4 linked regions of the Macaca mulatta genome follow. The protein of the gene in region 2 binds, or shares a complex with, the protein of the main gene of each other region. Links are inferred from orthologs where the notes say so. Each region holds a gene or a part of one and is shown on either strand. Other genes may lie near its edges.

What was found.
Region 1: VTI1B (region 2) and STX5 share a complex: the UniProt entries of both Homo sapiens proteins name them as parts of the SNARE complex. The link is inferred for Macaca mulatta from reciprocal best matches to the Homo sapiens genes VTI1B and STX5.
Region 3: VTI1B (region 2) and BNIP1 share a complex: the UniProt entries of both Homo sapiens proteins name them as parts of the SNARE complex. The link is inferred for Macaca mulatta from reciprocal best matches to the Homo sapiens genes VTI1B and BNIP1.
Region 4: VTI1B (region 2) and BET1L share a complex: the UniProt entries of both Homo sapiens proteins name them as parts of the SNARE complex. The link is inferred for Macaca mulatta from reciprocal best matches to the Homo sapiens genes VTI1B and BET1L.

The regions. Positions count from the first base shown.
Region 1 is NC_133419.1:11,223,196-11,227,172, forward strand, and holds the start of STX5 (syntaxin-5), read left to right. Parts: upstream 1-1,166; 5' UTR 1,167-1,299; intron 1,300-1,746; exon of another isoform or gene 1,747-1,895; intron 1,896-1,991; 5' UTR 1,992-2,010; coding exon 2,011-2,235; intron 2,236-2,728; exon of another isoform or gene 2,729-2,828; coding exon of another isoform or gene 2,829-2,891; intron 2,892-3,977. Other genes in the region: WDR74 (WD repeat-containing protein 74), read left to right, coding at 53-232; TEX54 (testis-expressed protein 54), read left to right, coding at 375-881. UniProt on the Homo sapiens protein: Mediates endoplasmic reticulum to Golgi transport.
Region 2 is NC_133412.1:140,831,195-140,834,705, reverse strand, and holds part of VTI1B (vesicle transport through interaction with t-SNAREs homolog 1B), read left to right. Parts: intron 1-1,320; coding exon 1,321-1,494; intron 1,495-3,511. UniProt on the Homo sapiens protein: V-SNARE that mediates vesicle transport pathways through interactions with t-SNAREs on the target membrane. These interactions are proposed to mediate aspects of the specificity of vesicle trafficking and to promote fusion of the lipid bilayers.
Region 3 is NC_133411.1:182,025,787-182,029,912, forward strand, and holds the start of BNIP1 (vesicle transport protein SEC20), read left to right. Parts: upstream 1-1,315; 5' UTR 1,316-1,331; coding exon 1,332-1,415; intron 1,416-3,677; coding exon 3,678-3,770; intron 3,771-4,126. UniProt on the Homo sapiens protein: As part of a SNARE complex may be involved in endoplasmic reticulum membranes fusion and be required for the maintenance of endoplasmic reticulum organization. Also plays a role in apoptosis.
Region 4 is NC_133419.1:81,249-85,276, forward strand, and holds BET1L (BET1-like protein), read right to left. Parts: upstream 2,812-4,028; 5' UTR 2,727-2,811; coding exon 2,708-2,726; intron 1,462-2,707; coding exon 1,370-1,461; intron 1,087-1,369; coding exon 1,030-1,086; intron 888-1,029; coding exon 720-887; 3' UTR 95-719; downstream 1-94. UniProt on the Homo sapiens protein: Vesicle SNARE required for targeting and fusion of retrograde transport vesicles with the Golgi complex. Required for the integrity of the Golgi complex.

The DNA.
Region 1 (3,977 bases), on a different chromosome or scaffold from region 2:
GAGCTACCATGCCCAGTCCCCCTGACTCCTACACTTTCTTCCCACTCACCAGGATGAGCCCCAAGAGCCTCAAGAACCCAACAAGGTGCCCCTAGAAGACACAGAGACAGACGAACTTTGGGCATCCTTGGAGGCAGCTGCCAAGCGGAAGCTCTCGGATTTGGAGCAGACCCAAGGAGCTCTCCAAACCAGACGGAGAAAGAAGAAGCGGCCTGGGTCCACCAGCCCCTGACGCCCCTGACGCCCCTGTGCCTGCCCACTTTGTAAATAAACAGCTGAACATCCACCATGACCCTGAGCCTTTTGTGATGGGAGAAAGGAATGAGGGGTAGCTTGGGGTGGGGGCTCCCTGAGCTGGGGCGACGGGATATCTGATGTCACAAAAGCCGGGCCTGGAGGCAGGTAGGCTGGCGTGGGTGGCAGGGAGTCCGGGGCCCCGCGGGGCCATGGGCTGCTGCCAAGACAAGGACTTTGAGATGTCGGATGAGCAGTCCAAGGAGGCAGAGTCTGAGGCCGTCAGGGAAGATGGGACCAGAGGCACACACAGAGGGCCCAGGGAGTGTGAGAAGGGGCTTCCCGAGGGTAGGGGTGAGCTCAGAGGCCTCGTCGCCTCAGGCGCCGAAGGTATCGACTTGAACTCCCCGGACCATCGGAATCATAAGTCGAACGAAAGCCTTCTGATCACCGTGCTGTGGCGGCGACTATCCATGTTCAGTCGTCGGGGCTCCTCGCGGTCAAGCAAGAGACAATCAGACCAGATTAGGTCATCAATGTTCAGTGGTCGGGACTCCTTGCCGTCAAGCAAGAGGCAATCAGATCAGACTCGGAAACAGGAGCGTCCGATCCGAGAAGGCAACCAGGAGGAGCCGGAGAAGGGATGACCCCAGACCTGCTCTTAGTCCGCCCCAACCTCCAGAGAATAAAATTTCTAACGTGTACCTGCACCACCACTCTGGGAAACGGGCGCGGACACCGCCGGGCAGCTGGTTCTTTAAGGCTCCTCCCCGGAGGCGGGCCCAGCCCCCTGGGCTCCCGCTGTAGTACTCAGGGGCGGGGTCACGGCAGCGCCTTAGCCAATGGGAGGGGGGTCGCTCTTGCGTTTGGATGTGGGGCGTGTCTTTCGGGTCGCCTGGCTTGAAAATGCGTGGGACCGCCCCCTCGTCACCGGGGGTGGGGTTACGTGTAGGTGACGTGGCCGCTTCCAGTCTGGTCGGGTTTCGGCGGCCTCAGTGCCCAGGGAGGAGGCAGTGACGGCCGGGGAGATTGGTAGTGGCGGCGGCGACAGGCAGCAGAGGGGAGGTAAGACTTGCTCTAAGAGGGGGTCTGGCCACCGTGTCAGCTCTGGGGCAGTGGTTTTACAGGGGCGACGACTGGCAGGGGGAAGGGAACCAGGGGCAAGCAGGCAAGTCCTGCCGGCCCGGCTCCTGGTGAGCGAATTCCTTGCCGTCCAATCAGGAAAGCCTCTGTTGAGAGAGACGTCGGCATTAGCTAATGAGTGGTTGAAGTCTTCCAGAAGGCGGACCTTGGGCGGGGGGTGGGACTTCCTGTTTCAAATAAACACCCAGAGGTTTCCCCCTCCGCCCACCGAAGTGTGTCAGTCTTTGGAGGTCCGTCACCGGCCCCCCCCCGAGGGGCCGAAGGAAACCACGGAAACGAAGGGACTGGGTTAGGGCCCGGGGCAGTTACACGGGCCAGGCCGCAGTCTGAGGGCCACGGGACTTGGCTCTGGCCCTGTCTCTGCTTCAGGGCCCCCGGCCCGCGCTCTGGCCGCCGGAGCCAAGTTGGAAGAAGAGTCTGAAGCGGGTTCGACTTGGGACAGGGGAAAAGCAGAGCCCTTTCCGCTGCTGGCCCGCCCCAGGATCTGCGAGCGTCTTGGGCGCGAAAGTCCATGAGAAGTGCGGAAGGGGCTCGAGGATTTGTTGATTGGGGTGGGGCGGGGGAGTTTGGGGAAAGAAGCTGCCTGGGGAATGACACTCTCCCCTCCACAACAGTCCGAGGTTATGCGTCTCAATGATCCCGCGGAAACGCTACGGGTCTAAGAACACGGATCAGGGTGTCTACCTGGGTCTCTCAAAGACACAGGTCCTGTCCCCTGCACCTGCTGGCAGTAGCAGCAGCGACATCGCCCCTCTGCCCCCCCCAGTGGCCCTCGTCCCTCCCCCTCCCGACACCATGTCCTGCCGGGATCGGACCCAGGAGTTTCTGTCTGCCTGCAAGTCGCTGCAGACCCGTCAGGTAAGGACCTGGAGTGGAAAAGGCGAGGAGTGAGCCATACTCAAATCTAGGAAGGACTGTGCTCCACCACTGTTAACTGAAGTAATTCTTGGGGGTACCTGATGGAACTGATAGGCTTGGATGGGGCCAGTAGGGTCTGCTGTAAGCAACAGAGAAGAGGTCGGCTGGCTAACTAGAGGCAAGGACTTAGACCTTTTTTTAGGAGGAATCCCTTGGAGGGCAGGAGTGCTATTCTGGAGGGAGTACTTCAGAGAGTACTTGGCTGTAATATAATTGGTGTGAATAAGGAACAAGTTCTAGGAAGAGCCTTTAGCTGAGAAACACGCACCTTGAATTTTCCAATATATTTCTACCATAAATTTGCTCTGTAACCATGAGAAAATTAATCTAGTTACATCTTAGTTTTTATCTCTGTAACATTAAGGACATTTTCTAGATCAGTAATTTGTTGTTTTTGTTTTGTTTTGAGATCTGTTTTCAACTCTGTCAACAGGCTGGAGTGTAGTGGCGTGATGATAGCTCACTGCAGTCTTGAACTCTTAGACTCAAGGGATCCTCTTTCCACAGCCACCTGAGCAGCTGGGACTACATGGATGCACCACCCAGCTAATTTTAAAATTTTTTTCGTACAGGCAGTGTCTCACTATGTTGCCCAGGTTGGTCTGGACACAAACACCTGGCCCTAGACCAGTAATTTGTATCAAAATAACTTAGGGTTGGATGTGGTGGCTCGTACCTGTAATTCCAGCACTTTGGGAGGCCTAGGCCACAGGATCGCTTGAGGCCAGGAGTTAGAGACCAGCAGGGGCAATGAAGAAAGACCCTGTCTCTACAAGAAAAGAAAAAAAAAGCTGGACGTGGTAGCATGTGCCTGTAGTCCCACCTACTTAGAAGGCTGAGCGAGGCCCAGTCTCTTTCTCTTTTTTTTTTTTTTTATTTTAAGAAGGAATTTCACTCTTGTCGCCTAGACTGGAGTGCAGTGGTGCAATCTCAGCTCACTGCAACCGTCTCTTCCCGGGTTCAAGCGATTCTCCTGCCTCAGCTTCTGGAGTAGCTGGGATTACAGGTGCCCGTCACCGTGCCCGGCTAATTTTTGTATTTTTTTTTTAGTAGAGATGGGGTTTCACCATGTTGGTGGGGCCGATCTTGAACTCTTGACCTCAGGTGATCTGCCTTCCTCAGCCTCCCAAAGTGCTGGGATTACAGGCATAAGCCACTGCGCCCAGCCTCTCTCTCCTTTTTTGGAAACAGGGTCTCACTCTGTCACCAAAGCTGGAGTGCAGTGGTTCTATCTCGGCTCACTGCAACATCTGCCCTCCTGGGCTCAAGCAGCCCTCCTGCCTCCAGCTTCTCAGTAGCTGAGATTGTAGGCATGTGCTACCATGTCTGCCTAATTTTTGTTTTGTTAGTAGAGACGGGGTTTTACCATGTTGCCCAGACTGGTCTCGAACTTCTGTGCTCAAGTGATCCACCTTCTTCATCTTCTCAAAGTGCTGGGATTACAGGTGTCAGCCACTGCACTCAGCTCCTCTTAAAAAAAAAAAATTGGGAGTGCTTTCTAATTATTTATTTATTTAATTAATTAATTTTTTTTTTTTTTTTTGAGACGGAGTCTCGCTCTGTCGCCCAAGCTGGAGTGCAGTGGCCGGATCTCAGCTCACTGCAAGCTCCGCCGCCCGAGTTTACACCATTCTCCTGCCTCAGCCTCCCGAGTAGCTGGGACTACAGGCGCCTGCCAGCTC
Region 2 (3,511 bases):
TAGCTGGGCGTGTTGGCAGCTGCCTGTAATCCCAGCTACTCGGGAGGCTGAGGCAGGAGAATTGCTTGTACCGAGGAGGCAGAGGCTGCAGTGAGCTGAGATCGTGCCACTGTACTCTAGCCCGGGCGACAGAGCGAGACTCCGTCTCAAAAAAAAAAAAAAAAAAAAAGGGAAAAAAGAAAATGCTTCTTGCTACTTCTGCTCTGGGAGCCAATCTTTTGGCTTCTTGGTCCTGCCAGTGGTCACCTGCTCTGTAATAGGCCTCTGTGAGCTGGGTTCCTTTTGAGTCTGTGTATGCGCGTGCGTGTGTGTGTGTGCACGCGCGCTTTGAACAGCTAAGAACTTGGAGCTGCCTCCATTTCTGTCAGTGGTTGTTAATTCTGGCCTGACAAGGCTACTTTTGTCTTCATGCTGTCTGTGTTTAGGATTACAGGTGGGGTAAAACTTCGGTGGGGATTTAGAAAATTAGGGCAGTTGAGAAATTAGGGCAGATGGGGAAGCTTGCTCAAGCCCCAGATACTAATTTCCCTGAGACCAAATCACCCCCAGTGTGGCAGCCTCAAGGCTTTTTGTTTGACCTTAGGTGAAGTTCTTTGTGGGGCTCACCAAGAGGGTAACCACATACGTTTTTTCCAGAATGTGGTAGTGTCTCAGACTTCTACAAAATTTCTTTAGATGCTGAAAAGAAGAATTGTAGTCATCTAGGCAATACCACCCCGAACCTGCCTGATCTCAGAAGCTAAGCGAGTCAGGCCTGGTTAGTACTTGGATGGGAGACCACCTGGAAATACCAGGTGCTGGAGGCTTAAAACAAAGAACAGAATAGCTTGTTCATGGTCCTTCAGTTCTCAGTACCAGTCAAGTGGGAATCTTCAGTGAATTAACCTTTTTCTAGGGCTGCGGAGTTTAGTTGGTTTGCTCATAGCACTATCGAAGTTACAGGCTATATGCATTAATCAGGTAGCTCCCACATCTGGGCTGCCACCTTTCAGAAGTTGATAGTCCAGGAGACACATGAACCAGTTCAGATTCATCACAAACACAGGGAAAGTGCTCCAGTATTTTTAATCCATCTTTCCTTGCCTCACGTAAGTGTAAAAGACAGTGGAGTGGGGGTATTGTGATCCTATTGATTCATTTCAGGTTCTGCTTTAGTCTGTGACCTTGAAAAGAATCATTAGCTTCTTTGGTTCTGTCTTAAAAGGAATGAAAATTATTGCTCACTGTATGCTTTCTAACATGGGGAAGGTCATGAGGAATATGCTGGCAATGAATTTATAATGGAAAAAGTCTAACATTTCTCTTCCATACTCCTTTCAGAATCGGCTACAGTCTCAAAGGGCAATGCTTCTGCAAGGCACTGAAAGCCTGAACCGGGCCACCCAAAGTATTGAACGCTCTCATCGGATTGCCACGGAGACCGACCAAATTGGCTCAGAAATCATAGAAGAGCTGGGGGAACAACGAGACCAGTTAGAACGCACCAAGAGTAGAGTAAGTCTGGGCAGACAGGGAAAGGGGCAAGTATGGGAAAATTAGGGGGCCACTGCACCTGGAAACCATACTAAGACCAAAAGCTACAGCAGTTCTGTATTCAGGGAATAGTCTTTTTTAAGTTCATATGCTTTTCTCAATTTTTATTAATTTTTTTATTACTTATTTATTTTGAGATAGCGTCTCACTGTGTCACCCAGACTGGAGTGCAGTGGCGTGATCTCCACTCACTGCAACCGCCACATCCTGGGTTCAAGCGATTCTCTTGCCTCAGCCTCCTGAATAGCTGGGATTGCAGGCATGTGCCACCACGCGTAGCTAATTTTTGTATTTTTAGTAGAGACGGGGTTTCGCCATGTTGGCCAGGCTGATCTCGAACTCCTAACCTCAGGTGATCCATCCGCTCTGGCCTCCCAAAGTGCTAGGATTACAGGCATGAGCCACTGTGCCTGGCCGCTTTGCTCAATTTTTAGTTTGCTTGGCCAAGAGATCTCCCTTAGAAGCAATTTTACCCCTAAGAATTAGACATCATTGGAAATTTTTGCTTCAGTGAAGGGAAAAAAAGATGGAAGAAACCTGATTTCTACACTTATAAGATTACAGGAATTAATAAGGATAAAGTGGCTGTATTCTCTTTGGCAAGAGAAATAATACGTCAAAAGGCACTTAAGGATTCAAAGCTTCCAATCTGAGATTTTAATTTTTCACACATCTAATAGAGTATTCTGCTATTCTTATGAAAACATCATCTACTTATACCCTGTCATTTAGAGCCAAGGCTATTTTCCAGATTTCGTAAAATAGTACCAGTTTATAGATTTATAAATTATGCTTCAATCCTGGACTATAACCCTTTACTATTATCTAAGTAAAAGTAAAAAAAAAAAAAAAAAAAAAAAAGTAATAGGGAAAAAAAATCTCTAAGGATTATCCAGTAAGGTAAACTGGATCATTGTGGAAAGAAAACAAATATTTAAACCAAATGATGACTATATCAGGGACCTCTAGTCTACTGTCACTCTGAGAGCCTCAGAAAAATAACTCATTTATTTTTTCCTTTCCATAAATGAGTTAACCTATGTATGAATTTTTTAGTTTTTTAGAGACAGGGTCTTGCTCTGTCACCCAAGCTGCAGTGCAGCAGTGCAATTAGAACTTACTGTAGCTTCAAACTCCTGGGCTCAAGTGATCCTCATGTGTAGCTGGGACTGCAGGCATGTGCTACTGTGCCTGGCTAATTGTTTTAATTTTTTGTGAAAACGGGGTTTCACTATGTTGCCAAAGTTGCTCTCGAACTCCTGGGCTCGAGCAATCATTCCACCTTGGCCTCCCAAAGCGCTAGGATTACAGGCATGAGCCACTGTGCCCGGCTGGAATTTTTAAATTAGTACAATTTGCCAATTGAATGCTGTATTCTTAATAGCAGAAGGCAAATCAATTTGAAAAACATACTGTGGCCAAGATTTGGACAGGAAAATACTAGCTCAGTGTGAAGATTTGAGTAGATTTTCTTAGTAGCTACAATTCTCCATTAAGTCAGAGTAGTGCCTGCCCTCTTCAGTGAAAATTCACAATAAAGTACTACATTCAAGGAAAGCTATGGAGAATGTAACTTGCTTTCAGATTGTGTGGGTTTTGGTTTTTGAACATACCAGGTAGATTGGTTGAATTTAAAAGCCCAGGAGGCCAGGCTCACACCTGTAATTTTAGCACTTTGGGAGGCTGAGGTGGGAGGATGGCTTGAGCCTAGGAGTTTGAAACCAGCCTGGGCAACATAGTGAGATATCATCTCTACTAAAAATCAGAAAAAGTAGCAGGGTACGGTGGCATGCACCTGTGATCCCACCTTACTTGGGGACAGGTGGGGGTATTGCTTGAGCCTGGGAGGTCAAGGCTGTAGTGAGCTGCGATTGCAGCACTGCACTCCAGCCTGAGTGACGGAGCGAGACCCTGTTTCAAAGAAATAAAAGCCACGGAATGAGCTGAGAGGTCAGCTTACCAAGGCCACTGGGGAATG
Region 3 (4,126 bases), on a different chromosome or scaffold from region 2:
CCAGTTAGCCTCTGAGGAGACTGAAGCACAGGCATGCAGTGCTGTGGACAGGATTTGAGCCCAGGCAGATGCCAAGCCTGGGATACACTGCCTCTCTATTAGGTGCAGTGGGGTGATGAATACCTTACGAGAGGGTGTGTAGAGGCCTGTAGGAACACAGACAAGCACAGAGCCCTGCTTACAACAGGTGGGAGCCATATTGATTTTTTGGGGAAAAGATGGCTTTCAGTAGAGGCTGTGCCACTTTCAAGATAGGTAATCTTGCGACAGGGTTGATTGGTGGTTATTTTAATCTACTTTCAGCTCATCTCCTGAAGTGTGATACTAGTGTAGTGCAATTTCAAGGGTGGTTGTGAGGATTAAGAGAGATGAACATTCAGGTCCTAAGCATTTAGGTCCTCACAATCTATTCTTGCTGAAGTGACCTGAACAAAAGCAGATGGAGTGGGGTCGAGTCGGGGAAAAGCTTTCCAGGGAGAGGGAACACCACATTCTAAGGCTACACATCCAGAAAGAGCTTGAGCAATCCAGGAAGGGCGCAGGGTGGGGTGGCTGATGACCTTGAGGACCAGCTAAGAAACTTGGATTATTTACTAACAAAAATAAAAGAGCCACCATTTGTTGAGGGTTTCCTCTGACATTTCCATCAAAACTACGTAAATCCATCAAAACTACGTAAATCCATCAAAACTACCCCAGCAAGGTAGATTTAATAAATCCAGTTGTATACAAAAGGGAACCACCAGAAGCCATAGAAGGGCTGCATACAGGGAGGCGACTTGATCAATTTCGTGTTTTACAAAGATCCCTCAGATCATGTGTTGGAGTGATAGGAAGTACTCTACTGACTCTACTGAACTCCATACTTTAAAAAATACATAACATTTATCATTTTCTCTTTTACTCCACAATTTATACTCACTGTAGAAAATATTAAAAATATAAGAAAGTTTGAAGAAACAAAAAATTGTCACTTGTACTTTCCAGAGACATCTCAATTGATACTTTTCTTCCAGTCTTTTTTTTCTATGCAAAAAATACATAGTTATTAGAATGCCTGACAGAAGGAAGATGGAAAGAGACCACTGTGAAGCATTATTGATATTCCCTCTTCTCTTCCTCTCCATGGTATTAAGGCCATACCAAGAGGAGAGGCTGATTTCCCTACACGTGTCAGGGAAAGTCCCAACTCTGCGGCAGGGACCCAAGCTTGCCATTTTCGCCGGTCTCTAGGGGGCGCTGCCCCGAGACTGGGCGGGGAGGGCGAGAAGGCGGTGCGAAAACGCGTTTGAACTTGGGCCCTGCCGCCGCCCGTAACCGGCGTCCCCAACATGGCGGCTCCCCAAGATGTCCACGTCCGGATCTGTAACCAAGAGATTGTCAAATTTGACCTGGAGGTGAAGGCGCTTATTCAGGTACTGATCCCGGGACCCCTGCCAGGCTCCAGCAGCCCTAACCCAAGCTCTGCTGGTCTGTGAGCTCGGTAGTGTCACTCCCGAACTTTCCCCACTTGGTTTCCCAGGCCACCGGCTCCGCCCCATGACCGGCTACCCGCCCTGGTCCCCATTTGGTTGTGTCCCCGTGACTGCTGGCCTTGATCCTTTTTCCGGGTGCCGCCGGATCGCCCATCTCCAGAGCACCCAACTGTTCTCCGCCCCTGACCCAGCTACTGCTTCGAGGCTCGGCTTTGCCACTTCCACTTGCAGTCCTGGTCGTCGCTCCGCCCCTGACCTCCTCACAACCTACCTGCCACCCTGCTTGGCCCCGCCCTCTGACGCTGCTTCCCCATTCTCTGGTAGCGCCCGGTAGGCAGCTAGCCCCGCCCCCTGCTGGCCAGCTCCCCTGGCATCCAAGGGCACCTGGCTCGGGAGGCACCAGGTGAAACGAATGTAACCTGGACCGTAGTTGTGATTTTATGCTTGAGGAAATCGAATACGGCGCCAAGGCCTAGGTTAGAAGGCAGGCCTGGGTCAATGGCAAAACTGGGACCTGGACTGGGAAAGTCAACCTAGGAATAACACCTTAGAGTGTTACCCCGTTTGAACAGAGAGGAAATGAGGTGTTTTCGCCTTAAGCCATTTAAGGGTAGAGGTAAAATAAACGAGTTGACGTAGACAAGAATTAGGAATGTAGACACGGTTCCATGAGTTTAGCAAAAAGAAACCAAGAGTTTTAAACCTTGTTTTTTTGTTTTGTTTTGTTTTGTTTTTTGTTTTTGTTTGTTTTTGAGACGGAGTCTCGCTCTGTCGCTCAGGCTGGAGCGCAGTGGCGCGATCTACTCACTGCAAGCTCTGCCTCCCGGCTTCATGGCATTCTCCTGCCTCAGCCTCCCGAGTAGCTGGGACTACAGGGGCCCGCCACCACGCCCAGCTCATTTTTGTATTTTGTTTAGTAGAGACGGGGTTTCGCCGTGTTAGCCAGGATGGTCTTGATCTCCTGACTTCGTGATTTGCCCGCCTCGGCCTCCCAAAGTGCTGGGATTACAGGTGTGAACCACTGCGCCCGGCCTAAACCTTGGTTTTTAAAGCAAATCATTTTCAACAAAGTCACTAAACATTAGATGTAGACTCAGAGTTTGTAACGAGGGGTGGCAAAAAGTGCAGGAAAGTAGGGCTCCCCAGATAAACCAGATGCAGAATAAACCAAATTAGATGCAGAATAAACAAATATGGTGCAAAGAAGTGTGATTAAATTAATAACCAGAGAAAAAGTGAAATTTGATGCAGATATTTAAAACTTCTCGAACTTCACTTCTCTGATGTATACATTACAAAACTTCTGGGCCAGTTATAGAAAAATAAACTTAGGTTTCATACAAATGAAATCACATTTTCACATAATCTAAATTGCTTAGGCACCCTTCTGTACTCTTTCTAACATTTGGGTTCTTGTGATTGCTGATGAGAAAGATTGATTATAGCTGGATGTAGTGCACCCTTACTGTGTTCCAGCAGCTCTGCTAAGTGCTTTACATACACACATAATCTATGATGTTCTCTGAGGTAAGTAGGGTTGTGATGAGGAAACTGAGACACAGAGAATTTAAATAACTTTCCAGGTAACTTTACACAGCTAATAAGTTGCTACAGCCAGGATTCGAATCCACATGGTCTGTCTCCAGAGCCTGCTCTGAAAACTGGCACCAGTAATTCTGAATGTCCAGCAACAGATTCTAAATCTGCCCTTAAACATGTTTATATAAACACTCTAAATATCACTGACGGTTTGTAAAATCACACTGAAAAAGTTAATCTCATCATATGAGGCCAGATCTTTAAACATCCTCATCTTACAAGTTGAAAGGATCTAAGGTTCTAAAGTTATAGTATTACTTTCGCATGTCCATTCTTGTTGGGCATATAAGCTGTTTTAAGCTTTTTCATACTGGCCAGGTAATGTTTTGTTAAAATTTAGGCACTAAAAATTAGGTCAAAGCAGTTGTGTTTCTTTCTAGGCTTTTATATTAATTCAACATTAATCTAAAGAGGAATGAGAAAAATGCCAATGATAATGTTTTTGCTTGTGTTGCAGAGGTAAACAGCAAAGATCAGGATGAATTATAGTCAGTATCAGTACATTAATATTAGTTGGTCTAAACCAACTCTCTCACTGTATGGATGGTGTCATTTCATTTCATTGCCTTAAGAAAGGCCTTTCATCTGTTCAATGTCTCCTAGGATATCCGTGATTGTTCAGGACCCTTAAGTGCTCTTACTGAACTGAACACTAAAGTAAAAGAGAAATTTCAACAGTTGCGTCACAGAATACAGGTGGGTATTCTCAGAACTGAGATGCTGAGTATCTGTCAATGAAGGGGGCTCAGTCCTGGGTGTATCCTCTGCTTGAGAGCCGTCTGGGTTCTTCAAACACCAGCTGATGGGAGCAGTAAACACTTAAGACAGTGAGGGTGACTCTGTACTAACCTGCTGTCCAGGTAAAAACGAGAAACTTTTGCGTGCAGAACACTGCCAGCTGTGTCAACAAGTGGATGGCAGGAACACCATTATCCTTGGAATTTTTGAAACCCTGAGGCCACTTCAAATACTTTCTCTTCTCTACCTTCTTTCTACCCTATTCATTTGTTCACTACCTCAATCCATCACACTCCTGGGTTTTGTTTTTTTTT
Region 4 (4,028 bases), on a different chromosome or scaffold from region 2:
CTGCTCCTGGATACACAGTCACAGGACCCAGAAGGATCCCACCCAGTGGCTAGGCCAAGGCTGCAGTCCACTCCTTCATCCACAACCCGTTCTCCCCAGGGGTCTCACTTCATCCGCAGGACTGGAGAGTAGGCACAGAGAACTCACAGCAGGGTGGCCCGCACTGGTCTCCTGTGCTCAGCAACCATGGCCAGGAGTAACTGCCATCTCCAGGCTGAGAAGCCTCAGTTGGAGGAGATAGCACCCACTTAGGGTTCACAGCCCCTTCCTGTGTCAGTTCCAGGAACCTTGGATCACAGACATGGCCTCATCCAGACAAGGACACGACCGTGGAGCCTTCAGATGTCAGCGTCCCAAGAGCTGGGAGAAAGGCTGCAGGCCACAGGTGGCCACGCCTGGGATTCAACAGTTGCTCTGCTCAGACCTGGCTCCTCCAGACACGCTGCGGCCCCAGCTCTGCTTGTGTCTCTAGCATCTGGGGAAGGGGGGAGGGGCTGGGCCTTGGTTTCCCCGAAAGAGTCCCTTCCACACATGGGACCAGCCAACATGAGCTCATCAGGTCACAGGCAGCCGCAGCCTCCTGCCACACAGAAAGGATTCCTGGCCCACGATTATAATTTCAAAGGAGTACTTTGCAGGTAAGTCCTCTGGAGCCCAAGATGCCAGGCAGGGAAGACAATGGCTGCCCTTGGCACCCACAGACACCAGCTCCCACTGTCTCACGTCCTTGCCCTCGACAAGAAGTAGGAGAGGATGAAGAAGGCCACAATCAGACCCACAGCCATGCCACATAGAAGCTTCCGGTTGTCTCGTCCGGACCTTGCCATTGCGGAAAAGCGCTTCACACTCCCTGTAAGCAGGCCGGTCATGCTTGTGAAATCCGAGTCCTAAGGGAAGAATCCCGGCAAGATCACACAGAAGTGGTGATTTGACCACCCACCCGCACCAGTGCTGAAGGAGACACTGCAAGCTCTGTAGCAGGTAGTGCTGGGGGCAGGGCACTGATTCGCGCACACCGTGGGCCCTTACCATGCCATCCAGGTACCGGTTCTGATCCTCTGCATCCCTATCGATGTCCAGGGCGAGCTGTTCAGCACACAGAGAGGGCAGGGTTGGGCCAGAGCAGACACATAATACAGCACTCACCCTTCCCAGACCAGACAAACCCTGCCAACAACTCTGCCAGACACAGTGGGGCAGCAGCAGGAAGGTCCAGGTGTCAGCTGGGGCCTCATGCAGGTGAGCACAGCCACGAATCGAACGAGGAGGACGGCAAACTGCCTGAAACTCCTCTGGGCCCTCTACCTTCCCTCTGATCCCCATTCCCCAAGGGCACCAGGTGGAGGTAAGAGGACAGACCACCACTGACCGATTTGAGCCTGGTGACTTTGGAGGCCAGGCTGTCGGCCATTCGCTTGTTCTCCCGGTCTAGAATCTCTTCCACAGCGCCCGGGCTCTGAGCTGAGAAAAGAGAGGGGCTGAGTGATTGCATCCATCGGGGAGCGAGGCCTCTGACCCCTCTCACTCCAACCACAACTGGGTGAGTCAGAAATCTAGGGGACCTAACCTAGGTTCCAGCAGGTGAATCTTGCACATGTGAGAGAGACTGCATAAAGGACGATGTGTGCAAGGGCCTGTCATGTGAACACGTGTCCTGTGTACACATCCAGGTGGGGATGGGCCAGCACCCACAGTGGGTTCAGTCCAACCAGCACCTTCTGAGACTGTGTAGCAAAAACTGGGCCCAGCTCTGGGATGTTAATAAGATGTGACACTTGCATCCAGGGAGGTCGCCATCTGTGTATGTGGAGCCCATTCTTATAGAAAAAGAGTAAACTCTGCTAAGAGCATAGGAAAGACTTGGGAAAAGTACCCAGCAGGGCAGCAGAAAGGCTCCTGCAGGGACGACCTTTGAGCTGGGTCCTGAAGAGGTGGCAAGGAACCAGGACAGAACATTGGGAAGGCCCTTTACCGCACAGAAAACAGCTGAGCAAAGTTCCCAATTCCGCGAGATGGGAGCTGAGGTCGACCAGGAGCGTGATCCCTGGTCTGCATCCCACACAGGGCTTCCTGCAACACCCAGAGCACAGCGCTTGCAGAGGCCCGGCCTGTGACAGGCTGGGCCAGGTGATAAGGAATTTCTGTCACCTCAGGTGGGTGAGAACCACCTTCTCCCTAGCTTCAACGTTAAGGAAGGGATGCCAGCGTCCTTCCAACCACTTCCTGTTCATTAATTCCTTTACTCATCATAACTCAGACAGGCATCAATATCCCACTTTGCAGAGAAGAACACGGGCTCCAGGAGGGGAAATGGGGCCACCGAGGCCCAAGTTAGTTAGCAGAGGCCTGCCTGGACACCAGCGGAGCACAGCCTACTCCGAAGGCCTGGCCTCGGGACCTGTCGAATGCCGAGACTCCCGCTCACCCTGAACCCATGCAAAACGATCTCACAGGGAGCGGCGGGGAGTGGGGGGACCCCGCAGCTGCGCGACCCCTCGCTGGAGCTGCTGGGCCGCCCCGCCCGCCGTCCTTCCTAGCGGCAGTGCTGGCCGAAACCCGGCCCTGCTGGGACCCGGAAGGATCCGAATCCGCCCCCCTGACAGGGTCCTCCCCGCCGAGGCCAGAGGCAGGCGCACGCGGCTCTACAGGCAGCGGCGTCGGTTCCGGCCCGGCCCTGCCCCCAACGGCTCCGCTCTCCCGCGCTCACCCCGAGCCCAGTCCGCCATCGTGCCCTGCCCCGGCTCCTCGACGCCAACACCGACGCGGCCACAGCCGCCTCAGACGTGGCGCAGTCACGGGGAACGGGCTTCCGGCCCCGCCCCCCGCCAGCGATGGCCCCGCCTCCGCGCCAACCACGCCCCTAGATGGCCCAGCCGCTTCCGCGTCGGGCTCGCTGATTTCCGGCTTAGGCCCGAGGGTGGGGAACCGCGGGGTCGCGGAAGCGATGGGCGTCGCTGTGACTTATTTTCAGCACTGTCGCCCAGGCAGTGGCGCGATCTCAGCTCACTGCAGCCCCCGCCTGCCGGGCTCCCAAGGTGCTGGGATTACAGCAGCACCGCGGATGTGACGTTTGTTTGTTGTTCCTGTGAACGTGGGGCGGGGCGGGGCCGTTTGCTTGCTCAGTGCCAAGACGATGGTGGTGGAAAGACGCTGCCATGCGTTAGGTCCTAACGGTTAGGAAGGATTCACAGGCGGGTCATGAGGGAGGAGTAGGCCCCTCGGGCAGAAGCCCGCGAGGAGCCCTGGGTGTGGAGGGGGCAAGGGTGCCTCCTCTGTCAAGTGGAGATCGGCGCCTCGCTAGTGCCTGCGAGTGCGCGCCGCGTCGAATACAGGTGTGCGGAAAGCGCTACAGGAAAGTGAAGCAGGGAAAGAGACTGGGAGGCGGCACGGGGAGTGGGGGCCGTAGACGCCTTTGCTCCCGGGCACTTGTTACAAGAGCCAGTGGACCGCGCTTCCTGTGCGTCACTGAATCCTCCTGATGGCCACTGAAACGGACACGCAGGATCTTTGCTTGTCAAGAGGGAACTGAGTCCAGGCCAGACTGCGTTGCTCCCCTTTCTCTCGGCCCCTCACGGCCCTTCCACCTTTGCAAGTGCTGCTCCTTCTGCCTGGAGTGGCTCCTCCAGTCTTTTCCCAGCTCGCTTCCCATCGTCCAGTGTTAGCAAAAACACCACTTCCTCACAGCCCTTGCAGCCCAGCAGTCACCTTTTGCTTCTTTTGAAGCACAGCCCTGTGACCGCCTCATGTCCTTTTGTTTTTCCTTGTCTGCCTTCCCCTCTGGAACATAAGCTCCACAAAGGCAGGGGCCTGGGAGTCCCGTTCGCCTGCATTCCCCAGCAAACGCCTAACGAACCCAATGGCCCGGGACTGAAAAGTCCTTTCCACTTCGGCTTTCCCGTCTACATCCCATCGGTTCTGTGGAGCTCGAGGGGCGTCACTGTGTGTGTGGCAGGGCGCGGTGGGGGCTGAGATCCTTTCCTGTTGGAAATTCCGGCCCAAGAAGCCCCGGTCACAAGGAGGGGGATCAG